Nothobranchius furzeri: one gene and its partners. The protein of the gene in region 1 interacts with the protein of each later gene in a pairwise test. Links are inferred from orthologs where the notes say so. Each region holds a gene or a part of one and is shown on either strand. Other genes may lie near its edges.

The links.
Region 2: the proteins of lmo4b (region 1) and itsn1 interact in binary tests that used the Homo sapiens proteins (3 or more experiments, as listed by UniProt). The link is inferred for Nothobranchius furzeri from reciprocal best matches to the Homo sapiens genes LMO4 and ITSN1.
Region 3: the proteins of lmo4b (region 1) and tfip11 interact in binary tests that used the Homo sapiens proteins (3 or more experiments, as listed by UniProt). The two-hybrid records come from large-scale screens. The link is inferred for Nothobranchius furzeri from reciprocal best matches to the Homo sapiens genes LMO4 and TFIP11.
Region 4: the proteins of lmo4b (region 1) and grhl2b interact in binary tests that used the Homo sapiens proteins (3 or more experiments, as listed by UniProt). The two-hybrid records come from large-scale screens. The link is inferred for Nothobranchius furzeri from reciprocal best matches to the Homo sapiens genes LMO4 and GRHL2.
Region 5: the proteins of lmo4b (region 1) and nfyc interact in binary tests that used the Homo sapiens proteins (3 or more experiments, as listed by UniProt). The link is inferred for Nothobranchius furzeri from reciprocal best matches to the Homo sapiens genes LMO4 and NFYC.

What each region holds. Positions count from the first base shown.
Region 1 is NC_091756.1:59,560,007-59,564,290, forward strand, and holds the start of lmo4b (LIM domain transcription factor LMO4b), read right to left. Parts: upstream 2,813-4,284; 5' UTR 2,584-2,812; intron 1,468-2,583; 5' UTR 1,463-1,467; coding exon 1,227-1,462; intron 1-1,226. UniProt on the Homo sapiens protein: Transcription cofactor. Plays a role in establishing motor neuron identity, in concert with MNX1, acting, at least in part, to disrupt LDB1-LHX3 complexes thereby negatively modulating interneuron genes in motor neurons.
Region 2 is NC_091752.1:40,936,360-40,939,875, forward strand, and holds part of itsn1 (intersectin-1), read right to left. Parts: intron 2,130-3,516; coding exon 1,966-2,129; intron 1,820-1,965; coding exon 1,805-1,819; intron 100-1,804; coding exon 1-99. UniProt on the Homo sapiens protein: Adapter protein that provides a link between the endocytic membrane traffic and the actin assembly machinery. Acts as a guanine nucleotide exchange factor (GEF) for CDC42, and thereby stimulates actin nucleation mediated by WASL and the ARP2/3 complex.
Region 3 is NC_091757.1:45,000,280-45,004,520, reverse strand, and holds the start of tfip11 (tuftelin-interacting protein 11), read left to right. Parts: upstream 1-1,441; 5' UTR 1,442-1,551; exon of another isoform or gene 1,552-1,569; intron 1,570-1,989; 5' UTR 1,990-1,991; coding exon 1,992-2,197; intron 2,198-2,286; coding exon 2,287-2,452; intron 2,453-2,542; coding exon 2,543-2,699; intron 2,700-2,807; coding exon 2,808-2,935; intron 2,936-3,051; coding exon 3,052-3,213; intron 3,214-3,372; coding exon 3,373-3,564; intron 3,565-3,703; coding exon 3,704-3,883; intron 3,884-3,993; coding exon 3,994-4,128; intron 4,129-4,214; coding exon 4,215-4,241. Other genes in the region: srrd (SRR1-like protein), read right to left, coding at 235-333, 421-602, 669-709, 940-1,151. UniProt on the Homo sapiens protein: Involved in pre-mRNA splicing, specifically in spliceosome disassembly during late-stage splicing events. Intron turnover seems to proceed through reactions in two lariat-intron associated complexes termed Intron Large (IL) and Intron Small (IS).
Region 4 is NC_091759.1:1,557,436-1,560,951, forward strand, and holds part of grhl2b (grainyhead-like transcription factor 2b), read right to left. Parts: intron 2,178-3,516; coding exon 2,019-2,177; intron 1,781-2,018; coding exon 1,723-1,780; intron 742-1,722; coding exon 602-741; intron 521-601; coding exon 483-520; intron 361-482; coding exon 269-360; intron 1-268. UniProt on the Homo sapiens protein: Transcription factor playing an important role in primary neurulation and in epithelial development. Binds directly to the consensus DNA sequence 5'-AACCGGTT-3' acting as an activator and repressor on distinct target genes.
Region 5 is NC_091759.1:20,572,160-20,576,195, forward strand, and holds the start of nfyc (nuclear transcription factor Y subunit gamma), read right to left. Parts: upstream 2,817-4,036; 5' UTR 2,707-2,816; intron 2,564-2,706; exon of another isoform or gene 2,489-2,563; intron 1-2,488. Other genes in the region: uncharacterized protein si:ch211-13c6.2, read right to left, coding at 3,492-3,694. UniProt on the Homo sapiens protein: Component of the sequence-specific heterotrimeric transcription factor (NF-Y) which specifically recognizes a 5'-CCAAT-3' box motif found in the promoters of its target genes.

The DNA of each region.
Region 1 (4,284 bases):
GACCCCTGCACTTTTTACCATCCAAAAACAATATTACGCTATATTAAATTGACACTGGTTGAGCTCTAGGACCAAGCGGAAAGCAACCGTTTGTGTTGAAGCCGGTTTCCCATTAGAACATATTGTAAAGATACCCCCCCCCCCCCCCCCACTTCTAAAGTGAAAATTACGTCCATGATTCAGTACGACTCACAGATCTGAAAATCAAAAAAAACAGATGGTTTCCATCACCGCCAAGAAAAATCCGACATTTTCCCTGAGCAGCGTTTACTTTCAGAGTCATGATTTCTCACGTTAATCAGATTATTATTTTTACTGGTATATTGTTGCTGTAGTCATCTGAGAACGGCTGTAAACGTATCTAAACTCAACATCAGCCTTTAAAACTAGAATCGATGCAGTAAACGGAAGCATCTTCTCTAAAACAGTGTTTTGTTGTTCGGCACACTCCGAAACTTTATGACTCCGATTGCCTCTTCAAGCTTCTTTAAAGTGAAGAAAGATCAAAACGTCATCGCTAAAAGTGCTGAGCAAATTCTAAACCTCGTCTTTCATTCTTGTGTAATCGGTAATCTGCTGAAAAACTTTCTGCTTTGACAACATCTCACCATGCATGACGCTTTGTGGCACCTGGAGTAAAGGTCAAGCAGCATGGTTTTCCTCCAGCCAATGCAGAAATACAATAGTTGTTTTTTAAATAGAAATAACTTTTTTTCATCCTTCTTTCACCATCTGACAAAAAAGAACATAGCTGCGTAGCTTAAACTTTGATTCAACAACATCTAGGAGAACTTGGGAGACTTCCAAAACCATCTACGGTTTCCTGTTCGTTAGTAGGCTACTTATGCACACGAGTGTTGATTAATTAGCCCAAATCTAACCTAGAGATCTGAAGCAGAATGCCACTAATCACGTTAGCGTTGGAGCAGCTGATAGGACGACACCAGATCATGAAGGATTTGATCATATTAATGCTTTACGAACACTCAGAGATCGTAATGCTGTGGATAGGGCGCAGCAAAATCCCACAAAATTCTGTTCAGAATGTTCTTTGACATAAATTTTACATTCAGATATTTTTCTTTCAGGGCTGTTTTTATATTGTAAAATAGTCGGGATGTTTTGGTTACATAAAAATATAATAACTAAATGAAAAATGAATCAAAACATAACATTACGCCCGTGCTACTTCTACATAAACACATGGCTTTCAGCGATCCTCTCACCTGATGTAGTCATTTCTGCACAGGATCATGCCACTTTTTGTGTAGCACGAAGTACCAATGTCGCCCAGCTGGGCCTGGCAGCAGGAACACTTGAGGCATCGGCTGTGCCAGTAGCTGTCCATGGTGTAGAGGAGGAAGCGATCTGCAATTTTGCCCCCGCAACCCGCACACCGTTTCCAAGACAGGGAGCCTGTGCCCACCGCTGGTGGCTGGCTGTTGCCTCCAGGATTCACCATTGTCTCTAAAAACACAGAAAAGACACGGTCAAGCCTGACTCACCCACATGGCCGGTGCTCGTGCATTTACTAGTGGAGGATTGTTTTGATTTCAGACAAAAACTATCAACATGTATTCACAGCTACGGATTTTGAATTATACCAACTAATACCTAGTTTTGTGACTAATTATTGAGTGAAACTGGTCTAGATGTCCGTTACTGTCCTGTTCTGTTGCATTAATGGGCTTCCCAGTGTCTGTTCAACTGATAACACCCATAATTAAGACTTCAGCATATATTTATCGTCTCAATCCCAGCATGAATGGCTGTAGTGAGATAGGAATTGCAGTTTGGTTCTCAACACTTGACAACTTCCAAGGCATAAAACATGTCAGACTACAAACTGATGCCCACAGACCTCCTGTAATGACGTCAATCTACTAATCTTATGCATTCTGTTTCAGCCACTAAATTAATTTCAAGTCATTCAGATGTAATCCCCACCAATTTGGTCAGACGGACTTGCAGGGATGAAGCCAAATCTTTGTTGAAAGCCAGGTAGGCCAATTAGAGTTGGGAAGAGGGATGGGGGGGGGGGGGGGGGCATTCAGTAAGCCCATTAGCGATGGCTCTTAGGGACAAACCACAGCGTACTTTAGTGCTGATTAAATCTAAAAGGAGATGAATCAAAAAAGCCGACGTGAAAGTGACTCTCTGGATAAACAGAGCGGGCTATCGTCAAGTTTCTCTAGGGGTGAGGAGGGGGGGAGTTTCTGTTTTATTCGCTGGGGAAGGATGAGAGGGGGAGGAGGAATGAGAGGGGGGGTGGCTTTTAAACTAAATGGGCCAACTCAAGTAATTACACGAACAGGCAATTTGGGCAAGTCATGGAAAAAGAAGGGAGAGAGACAGCGAGAGAAAGAGGGAGAGATGAGTGAGCGGGGCAAAGAAAAGAAAAACACCCATTCGTGCACTGAAAGCAGGGGAAAACACTTTCTTGGCGTTATTATTTTTGGGATAAATGCGTGGAAATGTGCTAATGAAGTGAATACTGGATGTGAACGCACGCGCTGCGAAAGAACGCAACATAAACCGATTAGTTTCCTGTTTAATTAGGCTGTAACGCCAACAAACACTCACCTCGTTCCCCTGGTCGACGATGCCACCGAAGTTTGACGATGAACAGGTAGGGAGGGTTCAACAGAGCCAGAAAAGTAAAACGGCTTCAAAGCGGACGCACCAACCAGCGCGCGCGCGCTCCAGACTCCAGCTCTGCGCGAGAGCACCTCGAGGACCCGGCGAGGCGAGCAAATGGAGTTATCAGATAGTATTTCCACGGGTAGGCTTCCCTTTTACTGGCACCACTTTAAAGACGACGGGATTCATGGCGAGGTGACACGCATGCCGTAATGTTCCCCCAAAGACGTGAAGAGCACGTGCGTGTTTTGGCTGAAACAAAAAGATAAAGCGTTCAGGAGACGTCGAGGCTGAAGAGGTCTCTTTCTGCTCTGGTCTGAATCTCTGCGTGCGTCCGCGTCCCGTTGGCAGCTGGTTCTACATGTGTCGCTGACAGAAAGAAACCTCCAGTAAAAACTCTCTCCTGCTGCGTGACGACAGAGCCCTGGCAGCCAATCAGAATGCAGTCAATTTGGGAGAATAACAGTTCCAGCCAATCGGAGGGAAGGGAGATAGACTTGGACACGCAGACAACGGAGGTGAGAGGGACAAGAGGAAAAACGGGGATAAAAGCAGCTCATTGACACTTAAATCCGAGATATCCAGAACCACGTTTCTGGGATTAGAGGCGATGGTGTATTTAATAACTGCATTATAAATATGAGTTTACGTAAACCTAAATGGTAAATGGGGAAACGCGAGTGCTGAGGTAACCTATGGACTAGATGCAAAGTTATACACAAGTCGTCATGGTGTTCGATCGTTTCCAAACGTGCTCCATGCTGCATGGCAACATCCAGCAGGCTGCATTCACCTCACGTCAGAGTTTAATTAGTTGGCATTCAATAACTACTTAGTTGAGGGTGACTCCAACCTCTACAGCTGCGTAGTGGCGCCATCATCTGTCACTGAAGATAATAGCAGCTCCTTTTACAACGTTAAGGTCATTGGTTTCAGCTCCTACTGAGTCTCTTTTGGCTGAAGTGCTGTAATTATTGCAATATTTGCTCATCTCGCCCTCTCTGGCATAATACAGTGCTGTGGAAAAATGTTGCTTATGTTTTTCATATAAAAGATAACCCCAGTAAACGCCAGTTTTCAAATGATATTTTCAAAGATTAAGGGGTGATGAGCTAACTGACCTGACCCTGATTGAACCCGTCTCCTTCAGGCTGGTTGCAGCACTCTTGAGGCAATGATTACTGCAGCTCTCTCTATGCAGGGTTGTGTCAGTCATCACTGTGTCGCCTTCAGGTTGTGCAGAACAGCGCAGCCAGGTTCCTGACTGGGACCAGGAAACGGGACCACATCATTCCGGTTCTGGCCTCCCTGCACTGGCTTCCGGTTTGCTATCGTTCACACTTCAGACTCCTCGTCTTTGTTTTTAATTTCTTCCAGGGTGGTGCTCCCCCCTATCTGGCCACGCTCCTGAACAGACATTCCCCATCACGCGCTCTGCGCTCCTCTGACCAAGGCCTGCTCGCTGTCCCTCGTTCTAGGTGTCGTACTCGCGGGGACCGGGCTTTCTCAGTCCTAGCACCGTCACTATGGAACCAGTTGCCACCCTCAGTTAGGCTGTCCCCATCTCTGCCAGTCTTCAAGAGTCGCCTAAAAACCCACCTCCTCCACTTGGCGTTTCCTGAACATGTTTGAATCTGGCCCTCT
Region 2 (3,516 bases), on another chromosome or scaffold:
GTCGGGTATACGCTCTGCATAATTAGCTGGAAACCAACCGGTCCTGCCTCTGAGCTCACCCCCGAGCCACCCAGGCTCACCCGTTTGTGACTCATCCACCTATCAGAGCAAAGGGTGTGATTTAATTAGGCCAGAAACACTAGATGTGCTTCATCAAGCTTTAGGCCAGGTAGCAGGGCTGAACTAGCCAGTGCCAGTGGGTGATAGTTTTACTGCAGCACAGTAAACATTCATCCTGATCAAGTTAAAACTAGAACGTTATCTGGACAATCCCAATAATGAGCTCAACACAAGAGACTAGGGGTGTGTATTTGCAAGAATCTGGTGAAACAACATACATCACAATAGTGGAGATGATATGATGTACTGTGATACTAAAACCCACATAATTGTAATTTTAGGACCGAATTTAATTGGAAAACTCAAGCAAGACACGTCCACGCCACACCTAGTGTTCCAGCAACAGCGCATTGTTCCATCAGAATGAAGGCAGTGAACTGCTGCCACCTAGCAGTCAGAGTCTGAATTGCACTACACAAAAGAAATAAAGGAAATGTTTGCAAATAAATTCTCAATCAAAAAGAAAAATCAATACAACCCTTTCAAAAATCTATCATGAAATATTGTATATTTCAGTGTACCGATATTTTCTCACAATGCTATTAGAAACATGAGTTGTGAAATAAACAAACAGCTTTCAGAGTTTAACTCCAGGAGGCAGGTTCACTAAATCCACAAGCATGGAGAGAAAGGTCCTTCACATCTATTTATCTCTCTCAAAATGTCAGAAATTAAATCAGCAGACGTGCGCCCACAACTGACTCACTTCTGGAGTCAGCTCAATTCAAGATGGCCAAGACCCTTCATCTGAATCCATTTTAAAGACACTGGGCTAAAATTTAGTCTGTTGCTACATGAGTGCCTTTCACCTCACATCCAAAGGGTCATCTGGTTTTGCAATAATCTCATGAGATTTTTCATTTCTCAACAAAAGATGTCATTCTTAAATTTTTCCATTGAAGACAACAAACAATACCAGCTTTACATTTATTTTCCTGTTTAATTATAACTTATTCTACTAAATTTATTAATTTAATCATTGTTACCAAGAAGGTGTTTAATATAAAAGACACTCATTATATGTAGGTAAATATGTGCTGGTCAAACTGAAGGATTTTTATTTCAAATGTACCACAGGGGGATTCAATTCCAGGCCTCGAGGGCCGCTAACCAGCATGTTTTAGTGGTTTCACTGCTCTAACACACTAGATTCAGTGATTGAATCACCTGTGCAGCAGCTCATCCGGCTCTGCAGAAGCCTGTTAATCACCTACTGATTGAAATCAGGTGTGTTGAAGCAGGGTTTAAGCTAAAACGTGCTGGACACCGGTCCTCCAGGCCCAGAATAAAACACCCCTGCTGTAGCGGGTTATGGGATAAGTGGAGCAACACACTGACATCCAGTCAGCAGTGTTTAGCATCAGTGTGGAGGCTGAGAATCTACACAACTTTTATTTCCCCATATTTTAGTTTTGTGTCACAATTCACGGCTTCAGGAAGAGTGAGAGCTGCAAAGCAGCTAAACTCTTTGGTGTTGCTTTAATGGTAAAGATGGGGGGTTCATTCATAAAGATAGCTGAAACAAAATGATTAGGTCAACATAAACACGTGACAGCATTCCCACTTTAGTAAGGGACATTCATCCGCTAGAGGACAGATGAACATGAGCAGGGCATGAGATGAATGCACTGGCTTGTGATTGGTGGAAACACAAAACGGCACTGGGCGGGGGGCAAGAACTTACCCACTCCCCCTTCACCTTCAGTTTGCAGAGCGGAGGAGAGAAATAAAACATTAAAGCAGACGGTCATTCACACACAAACACACTTCAGGAGGCTTTAACACAAATGCAGAGATAAATCCAACATGAACAGGACACGTGTGACATGAGTGCAGGTTACACACCATGATGACATCTCCAGGCTGGATACTGATCTCATCGTGGCTGCGAGCATCAAATGGATACAGAGCCCTGTAGTAGACCACCTTCACTGGCTGCTGCTGCTGCTGGTCGAAGCCGCTGCTCGATGCTTTCTGCTCAAACACACTGGAGCCTGGAGCTTTCTCCGCTGCAATTAGACAAAAACAAAAAGACGCATTTATCTTAAGTTCTGTGGCTGAGAATTATTTATTTATCTCGTTTCCTTATCTATCTACAGTGGTGTGAAAAACTATTTGTCCCCTTCCTGTTTTCTTATTCTTTTGCATGTTTGTCACAAAAAATGTTTGTGATCATCAAACACATTTAACCGTTAGTCAAAGATAACACAAGTAAACACAAAATGCAGTTTTGAAATGATGGTTTTTATTATTTAGGGAGAGAACAAAATCCAAACCTACATTGCCCTGTGTGAAAAAGTAATTGCCCCCCTTTTTAAAAAATAACCCAACTGTGGTGTTTCATACCTGAGTTCAATTTCTGTAGCCACCCCCAAGCCTGATTACTGCCACACCTGTTTCAATCAAGAAATCACTTAAATATGAGCTGCCTGACACAGAGAAGTAGACCAAAAGCACCTCAAAAGCTAGACATCATGCCAAGATCCAAAGAAATTCAAGAACAAATGAGAACAACTCTGTTAAGCAAAAAGAACATTAGGGCTCGTCTCAATTTTGCTAAGAAACATCTCAATGATTGCCAAGACTTTTGGGAAAATACCTTGTGGACTGATGAGACAAAAGTTGAACTGTTTGGAAGGCAAATGTCCCGTTACATCTGGCACAGAAGTAACACAGCATTTCAGACAAAGAGCATCATACCAGCAGTAAAATGTGGTGGTGGTAGTGTGATGGTCTGGGGTTGTTTTGCTGCTTCAGGAACTGGAAGGCTTGCTGTGATAAATGGAACCATGAATTCTACTGTCTACCAAAACATCCTGAAGGAGAATGTCCGGCCATCTGTTCGTCAACTAAAGCTGAAGCGATGTTGGGTGCTGCAGCAGGACAAGGACCCAAAACACACCAGCAAATCCACCTCTGAATGGCTGAAGAACAACAAAATGAAGACTTTGGAGTGGCCTAGTCAAAGTCTTGACTTGAATCCTATTGAGATGCTATGGCATGACCTTAAAAAGGCGGTTCATGCTAGAAAACCCTCAAATAAAGCTGAATTACAACAATTCTGCAAAGATGAGTGGGTCAAAATTCCTCCAGAGCGCTGTAAAAGACTCGTAGCAAGTTATCACAAACACTTGATTGCAGTTATTGCTGCTAAGGGAGGCCCAACCAGTTATTATGTTCAGGGGGCAATTACTTTTTCACACAGGGCAAAGTAGGTTTGAATTTTGTTCTCTCCCTAAATAATAAAAAAAACATAAATCATTTCAAACCTGCATTTTGTGTTTACTTGTGTTATCTTTGACTAATGGTTAAATGTATTTGATGATCAGACACATTTTATGTGACAAACATGCAAAAGAATAAGAAATCAGGAAGGGGACAAATAGTTTTTCACAC
Region 3 (4,241 bases), on another chromosome or scaffold:
GAAAAAAAGCAGATTTATTCTCTCTGCACTGATTTATCAACATCTAAGCTAGTGAATAACCAGTGAAATCAAACAGATAGCAAAATGAAATGGCTGGAGTTGTAACAGTTGTTTATTTGTAACAATGGTATTTATGGTAACATTATATCTGTATAATCTACTTCATAGTGTATACCTGAAAACAGTGTTTTACTGTTATTTATTTCAAAAATACTCAAGCTCTTGTCAACTGACCTCATTTTCTGTGAGTACAGTCAAACCCAGCTCTCTTAAGACATTCTTTTCAGCAAAGGAGAAGGCAGGATCATAAACATAGCAGTCCCGCAGTAAAATCTACATGGACAGGGGCAATAAAGCACATATTTTGCATCAGAGTTTCACAAGTATCATTTATAACACAGATGGAGTCGATCTTCTCACCTGTCTCGCATCCAGAAGAAGCAGCAACATGGCAAGTTGGTAGCGAGCGGCTACACATGAAGAAAAAGACCCAAGACCATAACAAACACACATCAGTGTTTCTTCTGGGGCTTTTTCCAGCTGATTTTCAGTGTCACTGTCCCCTGGAGGTTTTAGGGATGCTGCTGCTGCCTGGAAATTCTCTGAAGAGAAGATGATCCACTAAATAACTAAGCTTAACTCAACCTACATATCTACAACAAACTCACCATTCCAGTCTTTCCAAAAATCTTCGTACTTTAGTTCAAACCTAAGAAGGAAAGATATAAGCAAACCAATAACTTATGGGAAGATGTATGATTTCACCTATTATGCAAGATAAATATTGTTACTCATATATATATATATATATATATATATATATATATATATATATATATATATATGTATATATATATATATATATATATATATATATATATATATATATATATACATACATACATACATACATACATGTGTGTGTGCGTAACTTCTTACATGTTGTCTCTGATTCTTCTGATGAGTTTTCCAACATCCAGTTGCTCCTGATGGCATGATGGTGAGTTTAGAGGAACTTGATGAGATTTAAATTGCCTACATACACCTTTTCGACGCCGAGCTACCTGCCATTCATCGGATATGTACGACATTTGTGTGAATTGCCAGATGTAATTTACATAAGTACATACATTTCCAAACGTAAGTATCATAAAAACATGGAACTCAAAACCAAATTTAGCATTTTGAGAGCTGAAAGCTAAAAATGGAAACGCAGATGACCTATTCAAGTGCAACACATTGTTCTGTTTCCGGTGTGATTTCCGTCTAGTTAAAAGTCACGTAAATTCAACAGATTTGCTGTTGTTCGATTGTTTTTATTTTTAAAAAAAATATTGACCGCTTTATAAAAATGTATGTGTTGAATGGTTGGTTTTAATTAAGCTGCTTTTAAAATATTAATGAAATTATTTGTAGTGTACATTAATTGAAGTGACACGGCTAAACCGGAAGAACTTGCTTTTGACAAAAATATATCATTCGTCAACAGTTCGTGTCTCTGCAGTTCGTCTTATTACCACATAAGATATGTGTTTTTGATCTCAGACCAAGGTTGTAATTAATATTTTAGTAAGTTAACTTAAACGAAATCGTCGTTTTTTATCACTACTAACATGTTGTGTGTATTTACATTAATGCTACAGAACGTGCGTTATTGCTAGTAATTAGCCTTCGCTCCGTTTTCTTCTAAGCAGATTTGTATAGTTTTATAATCGATGTTTCACGTTTAGTCTTATTTGTGTATTCATCGTTATTGATTGTAAACCTTTTTGTCATTATTAATTTATCGTTAGTTAAACCACAAACGTTGACTTCATACCTGACTTAGTTATCGCATTTTATTTCCCTCTTCTTTGCCTTTAATAAACTAGATATGCATCTTTTTCCTGATTTTGAAGTCACAATGTTTCTTTCCTGGAAAATAAATGCACGTGTAATTTTAGGATTCGGTCACATTTCATTAAGATCTATATTGTTTATAACTTGCAGAGATGTCAATGTCCCACCTTTACGGGCGGAGGGAGGAGGAAGAGGAAGGTGTGGAGGTGGAGAGTTTTGAGATTACTGACTGGGATTTAGCCAATGAGTTCAACCCAGACCGTCGCAAATTCAGGCAGAGCAAGGAGCAGGCCACATATGGCATCTGGGCCGAGAAGGATTCTGATGAAGATGAAAGGCCCAGCTTTGGTGGCAAGAAGTATAAATGGCTTGCTTTTGACACAAATTCCAATTCTGAAACAATTTCTAACCAAATGTTCTAATAAAATATTTATGATTTCTTTTTAGATCCAAAGACTACACTGTACCTGTGAGCTTTGTGAGTGGTGGTTTGCGTAAGAGTGCTGCTGAAGAGAAAGAGCGGGAAAAAGAAGGCAGCTCTGACGACTCTGATGATGATACTTCTGCAAAACTCCCCCCTTCACGCGTGACTGCACCCAAAAAACTCCAGATGGTAATTTTTAAATGTGCGCACATTGTGATGTCCATTGTTTGTAGAAGAAAATAGTGAAAATAATGATGTTGGGAAAAAATGTTTTTCTAGGGTAATTTCTGTGGAAATCAGTCTAAGAGGTTTGCAGGTGGAATACAGTCTGGACAAGGAATTGGTAACTGGGAGAAACACACCAAAGGAATTGGACAGAAACTTCTGCAGAAGATGGGTTACCAGCCAGGGAAAGGCTTGGGGAAGAATGCTCAAGGTGTGTTTAGTTGACTTAGATTGTTCTTTTAAAAATGTTGTAAAATGTTTTGTTTTTTACATGGATGTGGTGGAATTGAAACACTTGTAATGTACTTTCTCTCTGTAGGTATCATAAACCCCATTGAGGCAAAGATCCGTAAGGGAAAAGGAGCGGTTGGTGCTTATGGCAATGAAAGAACCCAGCAGAGTCTTCAGGACTTTCCTGTAGTTGACTCAGAGGAAGAAGAGGAGAAGGTAAAGTACTGAGAAAAAAAATTGTCTTTACAATGTTGTTTTTATTTTTGTGTTTGATTTTATTGATCAAATGAGTCTATAGAGTCATTGTGGTAATTTTCTATATCTTTATATAGGAATTTCAGAAGGAACTTGGCCAGTGGCGTAAGGATCCAGCTGGGCCTGCAGGAAAAAAGAAGCCCAAGTACTCTTACAGAACAGCAGATGAGTTGAAGGCTAAAGGTAAAATAGTGAGTCGGAGCACATCTGCAACTGCAGGAGAGCTGGCACAGGTCAAGGTATGTTTATGTTTCACTTGTGTGCTGTTTGTTTTTTATGTTGGCATGGCTGCATAGGTGCAAAATTGAGGATTCAGTGTTTTATTAAGCATCAGTAATTTAAGTACATTTTGGCTACATTCATAGTACTTATTTATCCTGACATTTCCCTTGGTCTAGGTAATAGATATGACTGGAAGAGAGCAGAAGGTATACTACAGTTATAGTCAGATGTCTCACAAACACAGTGTTCCCGATGAAGCTCCACCAAGCTTGGCTTCACAGGATCAAAAGGTATCTGGCTTTGCTCTCCCCGAACTTGAGCATAATCTGCAGCTTCTGATAGACCTGACAGAACAAAACATATTACAGGTAAGAGGAAACCAAGAATTATTTACAACATATTTAGCTACAAGAATAGGATATTAATAAGTCAGCAACCTGAGAAAAATGTGAAGAACTTGTAATCTCTACTAAAGCGTTCTTTCTTTTTTTTGTGCATCTTTTGTAGTCTGCCAGACGTTTGCAGCATGAAAAAGACGTGGTTGTTTCTCTGAGCCATGAGTCAAAAGCTTTGCAGAGCAGACTGGAGTCAGAGCAAGAATCCATCCGAAGAATGGAAGCTGTCTTAGCATTAGTGGAGCGTTTTCCTTCTGAAGAGACGGCACCGGGAGAGGGCCCGACCCTACAGGTTTGTGTTACAAACACTGACTGGAGCCGGTCTGCAAGCTGTTCAAATTAAGGAGTTCCAGCTTTATATTTCATAATTGTGAAGCTGATTTGTAGTGCTTGTCTCTTCAGGAGTGTGCCCAGATCTTTGAGACATTACAAACCGATTATTATGAGGAATACAAGATGATGGGATTGGCAGATTTGGCTGTGGCTGTCATTCATCCATTGCTTAAAGAGAAACTCTCCTCCTGGGACCCTGTGAAGGTAGTCTTTTACAGTTAGAGGAAACCACATTTTTAGTAAATGATTAATATCCAAGCTAATTCTTGAACGCTTTCTGATCTTTTCAGGACAGTTCTTATTGTCTGGAGGATATC
Region 4 (3,516 bases), on another chromosome or scaffold:
AATTCAATCCGTTTGTAGCTTTGATCATTTTTCAGTAGCTGAAAAAGTTTCTATTGACTTTTTAATGTAAAAAAAATAGCTCTCCATTTTTTCAAAAATTAAAAGACTTATTTGGGCCAGAAATAAAAAATATGGCATGATCTGTGCTCAGAAGCAGCAACTTCTTGAGTTTGTGCTTCTCAATTGAAATAAAACAGGAAAGACCTGAAGTATTTACCTGACCATCCATGCACGAACGGAAAAAGGTGATGGAAAGTGAAGCTTTTACCTCTTTTGTGTGTTTCCTCTTTGATCTGCTTGTGAGGCGACTGACACAGATCTTCATCAGACGACCTGAACATCCTCTTCACCAAAACGCTCCTGACAACACACAAGCATGTGGCAGTTAGCCAGTTTGTCCGTGGTGTTGTGCTTCTGCTTGGATGAGGTAAATGTCTGTGTGTGTGTGTGTGGGGGGGGGGGGGGGGGGGGCTGATGCTCACCCTTCTCTCTCCATCTCCTCTGTGTTGAAGGTAAACACCTGAATGCAAATAATAAATACTGTCATTGTAAGTAAGACACGGAACAGCATGTTAAAGGTGGAAATTCAGCCGGGCCCCACCTGTCCGGCCCTCTGCAGGTTGCCGAAGTGAACGTCCGGGATGAAAAGAACCGGCTGGGCCTCCAAGTCCGACATGTTCTTGAAATAAGTGATGTCTGACTTCTTGGGGACAGTTATCACCCCGACACCTCCGTCTTTCCCTGGACACAAAAACCACGATATATAGGCTACAGGGGCGGGTCCAGAAAATTTGACTTGGGGGGGGCTAAGGAGGCAATCTTGGACCTCCACATCGAAGTGTGTAAAATATTGACTAAAACACTGTAAAACTGTTTGTTGTGCCATTAGCTGCATCTCCACAAGAAAGTTCCAGGACATTTCCAGTAGGGGAGATGGTAAGCAGTGTCCTGACCAATCACAGGATTGGGGTCTCCGTCGTGTTTTATGGATATTTAGAAAAATGGGCTTTACTCCGTTTGTCCTTCCATGCCTGTTGGCGAGACCTTACGACAACGGATGATGGCGTTGCGTGTCTCCGCACCAAAGTGGATGAGAAGTATAAACTAGCCTTAAGCCGTTAACATATGGCGAGCGTTCTGGCAGAGTGACTTTACTGATAGCTGATTAATAACAAACAAATGTGTGAAAGCACGCTGTATTTTACGCCGTTCACAGAACGCATTAAGAGAGTGGCCGTGTGACGTAAGAAACGGTATTGTATACCACAAGAAAATCCGTTATTTTACGGTGTTCTGTAGGACACCACGAAGCAGCTTACGTTATAGCGTTGCGGAGGGATTTCCGCCACATTTTTATGTGTTAGGAGTTTAGTAACAGCGATTTTACAGAAACGCTGACTTTTTTTATCTTCATTTGATTCAGCATCAACAGCAACTCTTCCAATTTTACAAATGCCGGCTGTTTGGCGTCGCCGGCCAATTTAATTTCCCTCTGAGACACCATGAGTTAACCACAAGTCCCACCCTAAGACATGACCCAGGCTTGTTTTGGTCCTCTCAGGCTGGCTCCATGAATTAGAGTATAGCATGAATTTTCGGTAAAATTACCCGGAAGTTCCGATAGTGGAAATGGAAATCCTATTATTATTATTATTATTATTATTATTATTATTATTATTATTATTATTATTATTATCTTCTGTTTGTAAGCAGGACTCAAACCTTTTGACTTCTTTCTCAATAGTTTTCTCTCCTCGTCTCTTATTTTCCTCTCTGCTCCCTGGGGGAAAAAAGAAGAAAAACATTTATTTTTTAAATAATAGAATCATTAATTTTCAAATGTATCCAGACCTGGAGCATGCTATGAGATATAAGACTAGGAATAAAACAGGTGTGCTGAGAGGAGAACCGTCCTCAGGCCACTAGAGGGAGCCCTACTTTCAGAAGCTCTTTCTTTTTTTTTAATAAAAACAGTATAAAAAAAAAAGGAATTTTTCCTCGCAGAAGCGACGTGCCACCTTGTCACAGAAGACCTTGATCTGTGAGTATGCCCTGTGGAGCGGCTTGTTGCTGCGGTTGTTGTAGCTGTATGTGTCGATCTGGATCATCAGAGGAAGACCCTTCACGCCCTTCTGGGAGGAGAAGTCTGTGCTCAGACAGTTGACCGTAATGAAGATCTGCCAGAGAAAAGAGAGGCAGAAACTGTTGACACAAAGCTTCTTCGTTCCATTTCTGATTAAAGTCTGCTCACATGTTTGCAAAGCTGGAAAGAAAAGTTGACTTTTTCATGATTTCAAGCAATGCAAACACAATTCCTTTCAACTCTGCTGCTTCTTTTGCTTCCTAAAAATACCTACAGATATTAATCTAAAGCAGAAAGATTAAAGGAAAGCTTCAGCATCTCCGAACCTTCAATAGGTCCTTTCAATTCTATCAGACTCAATTATTTTTATTAAGATTTTCTTCTCTGTTTAATTTCCTGAAGTAATAGCTGGATATTGTAATTTAAACGTAAAATTTATCATTAAAAATCTGAAATTCTTCTAATCATTCTAAACAATTTTAAATTGTGAACAAGATAAAAGGATAATTAACCCTTTGATGCATAATGGTCACTACAGTGGACAGGTACTCAAAATTGGTACTTTTTTTTTGCTATTAAGCACAGCTGTTGAAGACTTAATTGCATTTGAGCCCCTCCATTTGGACGTCAGTAAGTCAAGCCAACATATTTCATGTTCAGAATGCACGCTGTCCACTGAGGTCGACATGTAAAAAATTATTTGTAAATTAAATGTTACAAAAAATATGTAAATATGAAATTTTTTTCATTCACACCTAAAGATGAATGAAAAAAATGGTAAAAAAAATCATGGTTGAATATTTCAAATTCATGCATCAAAGGGTTAAACAAAGCTGAAATAAAAATTGATGACGTGTAAGAACCACTAGGTGTCAGCCTCGAGCAGCAACTCTGATTATTTCTCCTCTCAGACGAGCAAAAACTGTAAATCCCTTAAATACAGAAAATAGTTAATTTAACGGGAAAAACAGAACAAACAAGTGTGCTCTGGCTTTTAAAACAAAGAGGTCCCAACCAGGAAATCCAAACTGGTGCTTGAAATGGAGAACTGAAACTTGTTTTGTTACGGTTGTTTATAAACCAGCGTAACTTTAGTTGTAAGTAGGGGTTTGTGATTCAAGTTTCAATGACGTATAATATATATCTTTGCGATTATTAATTCCGTTTTTGAAAACTCAACAAAAATAAAATAAATGATAACTTGTGTTTCTGCCCAAGTTTTGTTCCGTTATTGTAGGAAAATTAAAATGTACTCATAATTCTGTTACCTTGAGTGAATAATGATGATTTTTAGAATTTAACAATAACACAAGTAAAGATCTGCCGAAGCAGAGACAGAAAACGGGGCTGTTGTTTCTACCCGGACCCCTTTAGATGTGACACTCTCTGAGCTTTTTGTTCATTTACTCATCTTCTAAACCTTTCTTTCTTCG
Region 5 (4,036 bases), on another chromosome or scaffold:
TGCACATCCACACAAATGCACATTTTGTCCTTGCTTCCTCGTTTATCCTTGCTGGTGTTTCCAGGTGCGTGGAGCGACAACGTTGCCTCTGAGCAGCCCGTTTGTTGTAATGACATTCATATTACTGATAATACAGCAAAGACAAAATTTGTCCACATAAACAAAATACTTTTTTATTTGTTTAGGATGTAAAATAGCAGAATGACATTCAACAAATTTACGACACAGGAGATGATTTTCTGCAAACTATGTTGCTTACTTGGACCATAACAAAAAATATTTATAAATCTCTAAAACTGATCATTTCAGGCCATCAGTTGCGGAAGAAATCAGCTGATGGAACATTAGTTGGGATGGGGGAGGGATAAGGCTGAATATGATTCTTGTTCTATTTGTGGTTAAACAAGACTTAAGAGATATGGGTGGAAATCTGTACACAAAGACGCTGGTGTCCTGACCCCAAAACGAAGCTAGCAGCAACTTCCACAATAAAAACGTCAACGGAAACCACACCAGCAATGACAAACTCGATGCCCTTTTTGTTCACGGCACATCCTTTCATCGCAGAAACCTTTACTTCGGATCACCAAGACCAGCCGCCACCGCTCATGTGCCCAGCTGATGTTTTACAAACCACAACCTTGAGCAGTTTGTGATCCGTTTCACATGTGAACTCATTAGGAGACACATACATGAAGCAGGAAACGTGTTTAAAAAGTGACATAATAGTCTAAAGATAATGCTCCATATGAATGTGACTCTACAGTGGAGTGGAATGGAACAAGCTTAAGAGGAAACAGAGGAAACCTGCCCCTTCAATGAAATACCGGGGGGGGGGGAGAGACCGGAAGGATGGAGAAGGACAGAGAGGAGAGTTGTTATGGGATGGGAGGGGTAGAACAAGTGGTGGGAGGGTTAGGGAACAAGATAGATAACTCAAGAGAAACAAAGCTAAATGTTCCTTTTGCTATTTTAGCACAGAGCACCGGCACAAGAAAAGGCGCTGCAAGCATCAGGTTAATGATTGGATAGTTTTCTCAAAGATTAATCTCTCCATCACGGCTAACTGGCCAGGACATTTATTTTTCTCTTAAAGGGGACGCTTGCTACCCAAATAGCCTCAGTAATGACACTTGGCAAGGTCAGCATACAAATGAAACCTTCCCATGACCTATACCGCCCGTAGCATGGCCATGTTTGTGCTCGCTGATGCTGTTTGGAGATAAACACACACCAATCAGACGTTAGGTTTCATAAACACACAGCACCCTCAGGGTGGCCGAGCTAAGCCTTCAACATGTAAACATATAACCACCTGCAAACCCCAGCTCACTGATTTGCACAATAGGTGCTTCCATTAATGTTTGATCAAAATCTAAGCATTCTGTCAATTAGAAAAATAAGCAATTAGTGGATTAAACAAACATTAATGTTTTAGAGACAGAAATAATAGACTGGGGTGGGAAGAGCTGCAATCCTGAGTTAGAAGTAAACTTATACACCAAGAATAAGGAATTACAGATGGACTTTTATTAAACAACCAAACTTCATTTCAAATGTACAAAGTTAAGCTATAATTCAAAATTAAAACAAATTAGGAACTAAAATGCACAAAAGTAAAAGCTTAAAATAGGATTTTTTTAAATAGATTAATCAAAAAACAAAACGGTTTGTGTCCTTTCTGCTTTGGGTGTTGTTTAGTTATTGATATTGTCTATATATTGTGTATTTGTTGATTCGTAAGCGTACAAATATTCAGAAAACAGTTCAGTACATGCAGGATGATTACATAACTCAGCTCAACTGGTTATTTGTTTTCCAATTGTGATCATGACATTAAACCAATTACACTTTTTACGATTAAATGGCACACTGCGCTTTTAACGCAGCCGACAGACATATTAGGTAAAAATCGCAGCAGGTATAACGCATTTTCTGGCCATTCTCAGTTTGCGAAACGGAATTCTACAGAGGTTTATTTGAATAAAGCGGCCATCGTGATAAAGTGAAAAAAATGATGCTAAATCTTGGGCTAGCAGGCACAACTAGCTTGTATTTTCTTGAGTTGGAGAGACTAATTGAACACATTTTCGTGCTTAGACACACAAAACAGCCGTACACAAAAGATTTCCACTACTAGTTTAACGTTAGGATAGGGAGTGCCGACTGTGACAAAGTGAACTTTATGCTAGCTTGGTGGAGAATGGTGACTGTTGCACTGCTCGGCTGACATTCCGCGGAGTGAAATTAAATCACACACTGACGAGTCTTGCCATCGTAAAGTTTGCAAAGCTCGAAAGAAACACCCTAACCAATAAAGACAACGTTTGGATCTGTCCTTCAGACCAATCAAACCTCGGACTAGATTCCACCAATCAAGGTTTTTAAGGCTAAGTTCGTTCTGCAATCGACGCCATTCGGGATCCAATGGAAATAGCCACTGCGTTTGACAGCCGTTTTAATGAGATCCAAAATGGCGGACACAGACCTCCAGTTTCCAAACCGCCCGGGATCTCTTCGGCGGGCCACCAATAAGCGCCTGAGTGCGGGGAGGGAAATGGCGCCGATGTTCATCTCCCAAAACAATCGTCTATTGGTCAAGAACAGCAAATGAAAACAGGCCAAATAATTGCCCCGACTGCCACTCCCTCAGGCCTGTTTTATGTAAAGAACATAGGTATGAGAGAATTTAAGTTTTTTACTCACTTTCTTTTTCGGGTTCGAGCTGAAGTCCGGCTCAGCGTATTATTTATTTTGTTTAACAAGCTAGGGAAACAAGATGGCTGCTTGACTCGAACCGGAAAGATTAACGCGATGACGTAGTGCGAGCTACGTTTTCACAGAACCTACGTCTGAACAAATAAGACATATTGAACCTACGAAATAACATTCAAATGGATATATTGTATTTATGTAAACACATATTAAGCCTGTCACTCATGCAAATAATTTTTACCTCACAAAAAATATAAAGTTTTGCAAAAGTTGGCTTGATAAAATACTATTTTGTCTGGAAAATTCCTGGAAAAAAACAGAGGATTCAAACTTGGATTCTGACCGTAAGGTAATTTTTGTGCTATTTAAAAAGTGCATAAACAGACGTCAACCTTGGTGTGTTCTTTAAACATCTTTGGTGTGTTCTTGTTGTGTTGAAATTCTAATTCCATCTTTTAGTTCTTGGTGTGTTCTGTATATAAAAAGAGCCACATTCACATTACGAATTTTAGTTTTGTAAATTAACACGTTCATATCACATAAAATGAAACTGTGTACAAATGTTGATGGTTATGCTTACACTGATACAAATGAGAAACTAAAATAAACAGATTACTACAGACAAGACAATTACATCACAGATCTTGACGGGTCAAAAACTGAACTTTACTAAGGCAAATTCCCTAAAATAAACCAAACCATTCAACTTCACATGCAACCTGAAACTACTTACACAAACAAAATCTAATTTTATTTTATAACCATCTTGGGAGTGACTATTTTCTTGCCACAAGCTCCAGGAGAGCGCAGGTGATTTTGTCCAGATTGTTGGAGTAGCGAGGGTCCCTCTGCATCCTGCTCTGTTGCTCCATAAGAGGGGGAGGCGCAGCGGGGTGAGGGTCAAAAAACATATCAGGATTCCGGTAGTCGGGTGAGTTCATGAGTTCTGGAAGTCTTTCGGGATAAAAAGGTGTTCCACCTAAAAACACACAAGACAACGACTTTAGAATAAAAACAATTCATAATTAAACTTTCATACAGATTTTTTTGCTTTACAGACTGTCCTCCAACTCACCATGTTTATGTGACCGGTATGTACACGCGCTCACGGGCCACTTTAATGAATACACCTGTCCAAGTGCTCGATTACGCAAATTACTAAATCAGCCAATGACATGGTGGCAACTCAATGCATTTCGGCATGTTGACACGATCCGCTGCAGTTCAAACTGAGCTTCAGAATGGGGATGAAAGGCGATTTAATTTGACTTTGAACGTGTCATGGTTGTGGGTGCCAGACGGGCTGGTCTGAGTATTTCAG